Linked DNA regions of Arabidopsis thaliana. The protein of the gene in region 1 interacts with the protein of each later gene in a pairwise test. Each region holds a gene or a part of one and is shown in the gene's direction. Other genes may lie near its edges.

Evidence for each region.
Region 2: the proteins of GCR1 (region 1) and MLO2 interact in a protein complementation assay, tested with the Arabidopsis thaliana proteins (one large-scale study listed by BioGRID).
Region 3: the proteins of GCR1 (region 1) and AT1G57550 interact in a protein complementation assay, tested with the Arabidopsis thaliana proteins (one large-scale study listed by BioGRID).

Annotation. Positions count from the first base shown.
Region 1 is NC_003070.9:17,828,672-17,832,434, reverse strand, and holds the start of GCR1 (G-protein-coupled receptor 1), read left to right. Parts: upstream 1-2,014; 5' UTR 2,015-2,220; coding exon 2,221-2,403; intron 2,404-2,597; coding exon 2,598-2,629; intron 2,630-2,713; coding exon 2,714-2,883; intron 2,884-3,012; coding exon 3,013-3,107; intron 3,108-3,255; coding exon 3,256-3,357; intron 3,358-3,459; coding exon 3,460-3,516; intron 3,517-3,602; coding exon 3,603-3,746; intron 3,747-3,763. UniProt on the Arabidopsis thaliana protein: Together with GPA1, may regulate the cell cycle via a signaling cascade that uses phosphatidylinositol-specific phospholipase C (PI-PLC) as an effector and inositol 1,4,5-trisphosphate(IP(3)) as a second messenger.
Region 2 is NC_003070.9:3,802,539-3,806,301, reverse strand, and holds the start of MLO2 (Seven transmembrane MLO family protein), read left to right. Parts: upstream 1-2,068; 5' UTR 2,069-2,431; coding exon 2,432-2,554; intron 2,555-2,606; exon of another isoform or gene 2,607-2,742; coding exon 2,743-2,800; intron 2,801-2,915; coding exon 2,916-3,181; intron 3,182-3,274; coding exon 3,275-3,391; intron 3,392-3,484; coding exon 3,485-3,545; intron 3,546-3,615; coding exon 3,616-3,763.
Region 3 is NC_003070.9:21,311,752-21,315,077, reverse strand, and holds AT1G57550 (Low temperature and salt responsive protein family), read left to right. Parts: upstream 1-2,158; 5' UTR 2,159-2,268; coding exon 2,269-2,343; intron 2,344-2,453; coding exon 2,454-2,537; 3' UTR 2,538-2,821; downstream 2,822-3,326.

The DNA of each region.
Region 1 (3,763 bases):
TTTTTCCGTATACCTCTCAATTGAAGTAAACATTTCCAGAGTTATTTATGCCAATATCAATGATTTAGTATGTCATAGACTCATAGTAAATGTTTATTTATATATTTGCCATTTTTTTTATTTTATGGTTTAACGAATAAATTTTTTGATCCGTTGTTAATTAAGTCATCAAGAAGTTTTTTTTTAGAATATATTCGGACATGATAATGAATTAATCCAGGAATTTTGTAAGTAATATTAGCTAAAAAATTTCAGTACTTCACAATAATGTATTACTAACAATCACCTCGTGTATGAACTATTTGTATTTGACTATAGAAAGGCTATTATGTAATTCTCAGTCTGAGCGGGTCGGGATAATATTGCAACGTAACTAACATGTTTAGACAAGCCATCATAAAATTTCAATGTATGAAGATAATTCGTAATTGCTGTACTAATTAAATTTATGTAATTTTGTGTGGATTGACAAAATTCGTCTGTTTGGTTTTTGTACGTTTGTTGCCATTTAGTAGATGATATGTCATTGGGTAAATTAGCACACGAAAATCATTTAATATATATAATAAACAGTCATTATAACATGTATACGTAAATTATATTACGAATTGTGATAAGTCTAGCCACGGGGTTTACGACCAAAAGCAATACATAAATAATAATCAGGGAGATCCATGAACTTATATATACAAAGAGTGAGGACACGAGAAGCAATATGTGTCAATGTGTGGAAGAATGTCTCCATCATTAACCTAATTATATTATATTTTTATGTTTTATAATTTTTATGGTCTTCTCCGCTTGGTAGTTTTAGCCTTACAGCCATTAACTATCGTAAATTAGGGTACTAATACTTGTTATTTTTTTTGGTAAAAGGTGAAATTTTATACTATTTTTAGTTTGTGATAGAATTACAGAGAAAACTAGAAACAGATTAAAGCAATCTACGTAAATATAAAAACAACATTACAACTCAAGATGCAAAGGATCACTACTAAGTGGTCAAAGCCAAATTGCAAAAAGAAACACCGATTCCGAACCCGCGAAGCTCAGAAAATTGTGTGGTTGCCACAAAACCGAAGAACTGGAATCATCATCTTAATTGCCACGAGCAAAACTATCCAAGATCCGTCCACAAAACTTCAAGATAGAAGTCTACAACTTCTCTGAGAACTAACGCAAAAACGTAAAAGCAATCGTGGACTTCTATACTAACTCAACAAGATAGCAATGCCACTTAGACTTATTCGCCGCCTCTATTCAACATTCTGACAACCTAGCCAATGCTCGTTATTTGCTTATTATTAGTTCTTACGTACGTGTTTTATATTCGTTTTGAAAAACAAATAATTGTCGTTAATAATCAGCTAATAAATAGTATAAATTTATGACTTGCAAGTACAAGCTTGTTATATATATTACTTGCTTATATATAACTTATTTTTATTTGAATGTTTTGTGCTTAGGATGCTTGAAACTTTGAATGTTTTGTAATTTCTATTGTATATGAGATTTTTTTTCGATTCAAGTTGCAATTATTTTACAAGTAACAAGCAATATCAAATTATTTAGCAAGTAATAAGCCAAATCAAGTTATTTAGCAAATAATCATATTTTATATGTTATAACAAGTCCAAAATTCATTTACTTGAAAGGGGCAAAACGGGTCAGAAGGCCATGCCTAGGTATTTTTGTGCTCGGTGATTGATAGTATAGTCGTGTAGATAATTTATTTAAAAACAATAGTATACATAATTTGTTATAATATTATATATATATATATATATATATATATTTATTTTTATATAGAGTATACTATAAATAAGATTAATTATAAAATTAAATAGTATAATATTTACATGTGCATAACATAAGTTATTACCTAGTATAATTTAAATATTCATACATGTATAAAATTAAAATTTTCCAAAAATATGTGATAACTTGACATGTAAATAACATCATATAAATGTTTTTAATAATTAATATAGCATATATGAATTAATGCTTAACAAAATCATTGGGCTGGGCCTAAAGAAGTGCACTACGAGGAGTCCGGTTCAAAAGACACGACTTGACCCGACCGATCCGACCCGGGTAAGAGGTTAGCCCACCACGCAACGTCCGTCGGGGAAGATACCACGCGACGGAAACGACGAACACGAACAGCGGAAATCGTCAATTCAATCTCTCAGATCAGTTTTGGAATCACATATAACAATGTCGGCGGTTCTCACAGCCGGCGGAGGCTTAACTGCCGGGGATCGCAGCATTATTACGGCGATTAACACCGGCGCTTCGAGTCTCTCATTCGTCGGCTCAGCCTTCATCGTTCTCTGCTACTGCCTCTTCAAAGAACTTCGAAAATTCTCTTTCAAGCTCGTCTTCTACCTTGCTCTCTCTGTAAGTTTCCCGTTGTTGCCTTTCGCTGATTGTGCTAGATCTAGGATTATGTACTGTTTTGCTTCCTTCTTCTTCGATTATTCTCACTGTGAATTGTTACATCGCTAAGACGTTAAGTTCCATTGCGTTCTGAGATGAGTAGTGAGGGTTCGAGCTCTATTGCTGACTAATGGCAATGTTTTTAATTGTTGCAGGATATGCTTTGCAGTTTCTTCCTAATCGTTGGGTATGTTTATCTACTACTATTGGTTCTGGTGAATCTTGTTGAGATTATTTTGATAAGATGATTGTTACATCTTGATCACTGTAGGGATCCTTCAAAGGGGTTCATTTGTTACGCACAAGGCTACACTACTCATTTCTTCTGCGTTGCTTCGTTCTTGTGGACAACTACAATTGCTTTCACTCTTCATCGTACTGTTGTCAAGCATAAAACTGATGTGGAGGATTTGGAAGCAATGTTTCATTTGTATGTATGGGGTATGTAAAATGATACTCGTGGGTTTCGGTTCTCAATTGTTACTATATCCACCTAGGGTTAAGGATTAGAATGTGTTAGTATCTTCTTTGGTGATTTAGTAAGACTCTGATTTTAGTTACTTTTCTCAGGGACTTCCTTGGTTGTGACTGTCATACGTTCTTTTGGTAACAACCACTCACATTTGGGGCCATGGTGCTGGACGCAAACTGGTCTTAAGGGAAAGGCAAGTGAGAATGCTTAGTTGAGCATAAAGATTTCAATGCCTATCAAAAGGCATTTGAACTTTTTTGTTGCAACGCTGGGCCAGATGAATGTAGACTAGTATTTTATTCTTCGTTACTGGAACTCATATCACCTCTTGAATTTTGCAGGCTGTTCATTTTTTAACTTTCTACGCTCCTCTTTGGGGAGCCATTCTTTACAATGGGTTTACTTACTTCCAAGTGATACGGATGCTAAGAAATGCTAGACGTGTATGTAACTCTCTCATCTCTAATAACATTGTCTTCTGAAAGTAGTTCACAAACGTTACTGATACACTTGGCTGTGTGCTGAAATGGCAATGTTAATTTCAGATGGCAGTTGGAATGTCAGACCGAGTCGATCAATTTGATAATAGAGCAGAGTTAAAGGTCTGTCTTTATTGCCAATACTAGTTCTGTATCATGTGGCTGGATTTCATCATTAAAACCTCACTGCTTGTTTCCTGAAACCACAGGTGTTGAACAGATGGGGATACTATCCACTCATTCTAATAGGATCATGGGCATTCGGCACTATTAACCGTATCCATGATTTCATCGAGCCAGGGCATAAGATCTTCTGGCTCTCAGTTCTTGACGTTGGGACAGCTGCACTAATGGTAGCAAACCTATCAAA
Region 2 (3,763 bases), about 14 Mb from region 1:
ATGGATTATATGGAAATTAAGATGCATGAAAAGGAAATTAAGATGCCTCACATTATTTCCACCATCTAGTCATTTATGTCGTCTTAGATTCTTTTATAAATCATATTCATATGTGACTAACACGTCTTCACATTCTCATTTGATCATGTTGCTTAAAACAAATATCTCATCAACCACATAAGCAATAAATGTTTTTAGTTTTTGTTTGATTCAGTTCATTAATATATAATTACATGTCCATCTTAAGCGTTCCGTTAATTATCACATTTTTAAACTCTATGTGATTAGTTGCAGTTTGCAACTTGGTTTGTCAATTAACAATAATGTATAATTTACATATCTGTTTTTTTTGCGATTTTTTTTTTTTTTACATATATGTATGCCTCAGCATGCATTGTTATTTGTTGACTCTTTGAACTTAAGTTGTGTCCAATTGTGTCAGTCATAAATATGAACACGTGTTAAATATTATAGAGAAAGATTTGAGTTTTTACAATCTTATAATCCACTCTCCATAGTTTATATATGTACATGCACGATCAGTTTTAACTAATAATCATAAACATATATGTACATGTACAATCAATCTCATATGCAATCAAAGTAAATATAAATTAAAAAAAATGTATATATGGATCTCGTTTAGTTTAAATTCTAAACGTATATTGTCGAAGGAGAAAAACTATAATTTTGTTTGTGTATATTGATTGATTCTTCAGTAATTTCTTCAACTATTCTGATATATATATATATATATATATATATATATATCTACTTGCAATCATAGTTTAAAGATGTTATTTCTGTTAGATGTTTAATCTTGTTTTTTTCTGTCAGTAGTCTTTAATCACGTGCCAAGTAAGCAAAACACTCTCATTATTTTAAAGAATGTTGATTAAATAAACATTCGATGGGCGATGGCTATTGGAAACTGGAAAGTCAGCTAAATACAACAATTTTCCACTTAACATTCTAATTATCTAACTATTAATTATTAATCATTGCTGCATGCCTCTGTTCAACTGTACAGGCTGTTTTCGAATATTTTGTAGAGTACAACTTATCAAAAAATCCCAAACTCTTTTATCTGACAATAATATTTTAAGATATAAGAAATAGTCATAGTATCATATTTTTCAAACTATACAATTTTTATAATTTCATTAAAAGGCAAAATAAAAACCAGGTTACGTAATTAATTTAATAGTCAAATGTTTGCTACAATAATATATTTACAATTCTAGTTACATCTAAGTGTAATAAAATTACAATTCCATTATAGATAGTATAATGGATGATAAAACTTTTGTACAGTTGATAGTAAGAAAATTTAATAAAATATAGGATATTAACAAGAAAAAAAAAACAAAAAAAAAAAAACACGTTAATGGGTAAACTTCGAAACTGAAATTTTTGTAGAAAAAAACAATCACATCATCAATGTATCTTTCAAAATAATGTTTTGACAACTTATCAGTCACTTTTAATTGGGTGTGTTAGAAATAGAGGTACAGTTTAAAGTTTTTATTAGGTTTTGGGTGGTAAGGTGTGTTAGAAATCAGTTTATTTTTTAATCAGTCATTGGTGGTGGTGGAAAATATCATTTTCAAATTTCAAGTAGCAATTATGGGTGAAATTTCTTGTATAAATTTCAAGTAGCAATTAATATATCTTTTTTTATATATAGAAAATTTACATTTTGGTAAAAATTTAAATTAAAAAAAGGAGCATGGTTATATCTTGAATCTTGGTATCTACGAGCATATTATTTAGATATAACAAACAAGTTGGGAATAGACAAAACAAAATGACGAACTTTCCAACGAAAGATCCCATTATAGTAATGTTATTCTTATTTATACTTATACAATCTCTAGTGGCTTCCAAAGTACACAAAATGGGAGTATTATACCAACAAAAATAAACGACTAATGAATCAAAAAATTCAAAATTTGCTTTATTTTATTCTGAAAATCTAACGAGCTGAAACCAAAATGTTATAGATTTAAAATAGAAACAAAACACCGATGATTGACCCAATAAAAAGCAAAATAAAGTAGACCAAAAAGAATAATGGTTATGCTGATAATTGAGGAGTCGTCGTCACTCGTCACATGAGAGGAACAACAAGAAAAGTCAAAACGTTGAAGCTTTCTCGAATAACGCCTTCTTTAGTTTACAGTCTCTCGTTGCGGGTCTTATCTTCTTCTTCTTCTTCCCTCTTTCGTCTGCTCTATATTATGACCAGATTCAAAATTGCGTAGCGTACTAATTCAATATAGAGAGAAGTTAGATCAAAAGAAGAACACGAAACTCTGACTGTGTCTCTCTTTCTCTTCGTGTGTTTCTATATTTATATATAAAAAGACAAGATCTCTGGTCTGGAATTAGAAGAATCTTATTTGGGGTTTTTTCTTAGGATTAAGCTCTAATGGCAGATCAAGTAAAAGAGCGGACTTTAGAGGAGACCTCTACGTGGGCAGTTGCTGTTGTTTGCTTTGTCTTACTCTTTATTTCGATTGTCCTCGAACATTCTATTCACAAAATTGGAACCGTAAGTCTCTTTATATTTCTCCTTATTTCAAGATTCCCCTGTTTCTTGCTCTGCTTTCTGCTCTGTTTCTTTAATTACTGCTCTGTTTTTTTGGATTTGTTTAGTTCTTCTCCTATCACTATCAACACTACTAAATCTGTGAGAATAACGAAAATATCTGATCATTCCTTTTTTTGTGCCTTAAACAGTGGTTTAAAAAGAAGCACAAGCAGGCTCTTTTTGAAGCTCTTGAAAAGGTCAAAGCAGGTAACTATCTTTTTCTACTTAACTTGATCCATTATCAACAAGCTTCTTATCTTTTTCTACTTAACTTCATCCATTAACAAGCTCCTGATTTTGTTTTCTACGTAACTTCATTCAGAGCTTATGCTGTTGGGATTCATATCACTACTACTCACAATTGGACAAACACCAATCTCAAATATCTGCATCTCCCAGAAAGTTGCGTCAACAATGCACCCTTGCAGTGCTGCTGAAGAAGCTAAAAAATACGGCAAGAAAGACGCCGGAAAGAAAGATGATGGAGATGGAGATAAACCCGGTCGAAGACTTCTTCTTGAGTTAGCTGAATCTTATATCCATAGAAGAAGTTTAGCCACCAAAGGCTATGACAAATGTGCAGAGAAGGTAACTAATAATCTCCCTTCTCTCTCTATATAAAAATCATTCTCTGCTTGTTAAACCGATGGAATTTTGATTTCTATTGATGGATTTACTCAGGGGAAAGTGGCTTTTGTATCTGCTTATGGAATCCACCAGCTGCATATATTCATCTTCGTGCTCGCGGTTGTTCATGTTGTTTACTGCATTGTTACTTATGCTTTCGGAAAGATCAAGGTAACTAACATTTCTTGTGACTTACGCAGTTGTTAAGGCGAGAAAAAGAGTGTATGCAAAAGATTTTTATACTTGTTTTCTTGAGTATTGCAGATGAGGACGTGGAAGTCGTGGGAGGAAGAGACAAAGACAATAGAGTATCAGTATTCCAACGGTATGTAAATATGTGAGTATTCGACGAAACTTAAAGACCTGAATGGGAATGAATTAGTCTTGTTATGCAGATCCTGAGAGGTTCAGGTTTGCGAGGGACACATCTTTTGGGAGAAGACATCTCAATTTCTGGAGCAAGACGAGAGTCACACTATGGATTGTTTGTTTTTTTAGACAGTTCTTTGGATCTGTCACCAAAGTTGATTACTTAGCACTAAG
Region 3 (3,326 bases), 3.5 Mb from region 1:
ATGCAAGTTTGTTTTGCAGCTACCATGTAAGTAAAAATGTCATACGAACTTTAGTCAAAACTACTTTTAAATTTAAGTCTTTGCAATTTAACTAGTTGTGTATATAGGAAAAAAAAACACTACTTAATTGATACTGTAAACTGTTTTAATAATTGAAGATATCAAAATATTAGTGGATGTTATATTGGCCATTTTTTTTTTATATCCGCAAAGTTTGGAACCAAACTCCGTAGATTTTCATAAACCAAAGTGAGTGAATTCACCGCTTCACAAATGAAACTTAAACTAGAGGGCTCTAGGATGACCCTAGTTTATTTGCTACTAGACCGAGCAACACTTGATATTGAACTAAACTTGATAAAACAGAGATTTTGATACACTCAACATATACTTTTATGTTGAGTGTATCAAAATCTCTGTTTTAAGTTGGTGAAGCGTGTACCCGACAGTTTCATGTCCACATAGCTCAACATTGTTGTATTTATTGATTTATGTGGGCGTTTCAATAATCTGTGTAAATCCAAGATATCATTGTCGTAAAAAAAGGCGAGGGTCAGATTTGTATAGCGACACTCCCCGTGAAACAGTTGTGCAATTTTACATGTTTACATAGAATTCCAAGTATTTAAAGACCAACCCTTTGGCCGATATATGTATAATTGTACATAACTAAATTCTATAAAACGTAGACGATAAAATCATAATGTGGATTTTATGCATGTCGTTAAATGGTATGGTGTTATTTAACTTGTTCATATATGTTTTTTTATTAACGAGTTTACTTGATAAATGTTATTCACTTATTTCACGTAATATTACGGTTATTATACAAGTTTAACAATCACATGGAAATATGTACTATTTACGATTTTTTCATCGCATTTTTTGTCAAACAAAAAGGTAGAATTAAGTTATAAAAAAGCCCTACATATCAAAAAGTTATATTGCTGAAGACGAACGAATAGTTGCCATGCTTAACATGCATTGCATTGGAATGGTCAAATAGAGATGCTATGAATATATGAGCTGTCCTCTCAAGTCAATTGTTCAATAACTCGTTATATTATATGTAATTTATAAGCTAATCATCACTGTCCTTTTCGTTTGTCTTTGTCATAAGATTGACAGAACCAATAAAATCTGAGGACGATTAAATTAATATATAAAGAAACTAGAGATTTAATATTTTGAACTGAATAAAAGTTATATAGATTACATGAAGGATCGTTGTCATTATCACTACCACAAAACTTTAACATCATTCACCGACAAATGGAAAACATTAAGCTGTTCACTTAATTAACACGCATCTCATATATTATTTCCCTCGTATATATTAAACTTTATAGATGAGATTTAATTTCTTTCAACTACCTATGCAAAATTTATTTTATTTGATGTTTTGTGACAATTATATTAATCTTTGATAATTAGTTTTGGTTAAACTTTTTTTTTTATTATCCATTTTTGTCAACCACGTAATTAAATTAAAAAAATATATCTTAATAGATTATCTAATATGAAAGAACCGAGTTTACGAAATTTCATTTTTAAATTAGTTTTGACTAATGGGTCTCTAAGTTATTACACCCGACTAAATATGTGGAGTCGATAAGTGATAGCAAGTTAGATTTACTTGTTCTAAGCTAAACTAACAAATATAGATAAGTTAAGTAGATTAAAACTTACATAATTGAATATTTACATGTTTGGAAAAAAAACTTGAGTAAAAGAAAAAAAACTTGATAAAAATCACTAAAAATTATGTTTACACTTGAGTTAAAAGCAAACATTTTATCTACATAAGATGATACTAATACAAACTAATGGCCTATATATATTTGTAATCCATGAAATTTAATTTTATTTTTGTAACAGACATTATGATTGTAACATTTTAATTTCTTTGCCCAAAAACAAAACATTTTATTTTTAAGTTATTCGACTTCTTATTTGTGTTCATCCCATTTTTTTGTTTCCAACCGATGAACAACGGAAGGTTGCGTCAAAACGCAAAGGGTTGTGTTGTTTGTGTTGAAGTGGAGCTCCTTCATTTTAGGAACAAGCAGAGGACGTTACACAATCAAACTCAGTTTCTTCCCTTATTTAACGTAACCACTAATTCTATTTTCTTGTTCTTTTACAAAGTTCATAAATGGAAATGAACACGTAAGAAGAAATAAAACAAAGTTCAAAACTAAGAAACAGAAAAACAAAAAAAAACATAAAAAAACATATAAAAAAAACATAAAATTACAGAAGAAAAAAATGGGTAGCTTCCTTGAGGTTCTTTGTGCAATCTTCATACCTCCTGTTGGTGTGTTCCTCAGATATGGCCTTGGGGTAAATTTTTTTCATTCATAAATCATAAAAATATATGACACATTTGACATTAATGGTCAAAGTAAGATCAAATCTCTTGTTTTTTTGTTTCTTTGTATATGTGTTTGCAGTTGGAGTTTTGGGTCTGTTTGCTTCTAACGTTATTCGCTTTTATCCCCGGACTGATATATGCCATCTACGTTCTCACCAAGTAGGAATAACCAATCAAAAACACTGGATCCTTTTTTTATTTTATAACTTTTTCTTTTTCCAACAATGTTTGCTTTTTTAGATTTTTTATGTTGTATTTAAGGAATCAGTTTTGTAATCTAGCAAACTTTTTGCTATGTTAGATGTATGTAAATTCCAGCAGTTTCCAAATTGCTGTTGTTCTAGTTTGCAGAGGTTATGGATACATTTTACGGATCATAAACAGATTTGGAAGATTGATGATATTATTATATGCGTGATATAAATTTTGAATTGTAGTAATACTACATCTAAAGAGTGATCAAATTATTAGTACCATTAGGAACTATAAAGTTCTGATAGAGATATTACATGGAGTCATCGATACACACAGTTTACTTATGCGTATAACGATAAATATAAACCTGTGTACATACATTTATAATTTTATATAGCTTCTGCAATTCCGATTTGAAGATTGCTTGAATCGAATACCGTGTGGTATAGGCTCCCATGAAGACGTTCCCAATAATCCCTGCATATACAAATTCTTTACCTCAAAGTGGTAAGCAAAAAATGTAAACAAAATCTATTGAAATCGTCCCATCTTACCAAAGAGGATCAATTGGTATAGTCAATGCTCTCCCATAATGAAAAAAATTATGAGCTACTTGGTTACAACAACGATTCGAATGAGAAAAATATTATTTTCTAACCTTAAATATCCAAGATATCGGTGTAAATTCCGATAATAGATGCGTCTATTAATCCATTGTTAATGCTGTCAATTAAGGTTTTTTGCAATCCCCTCTAAC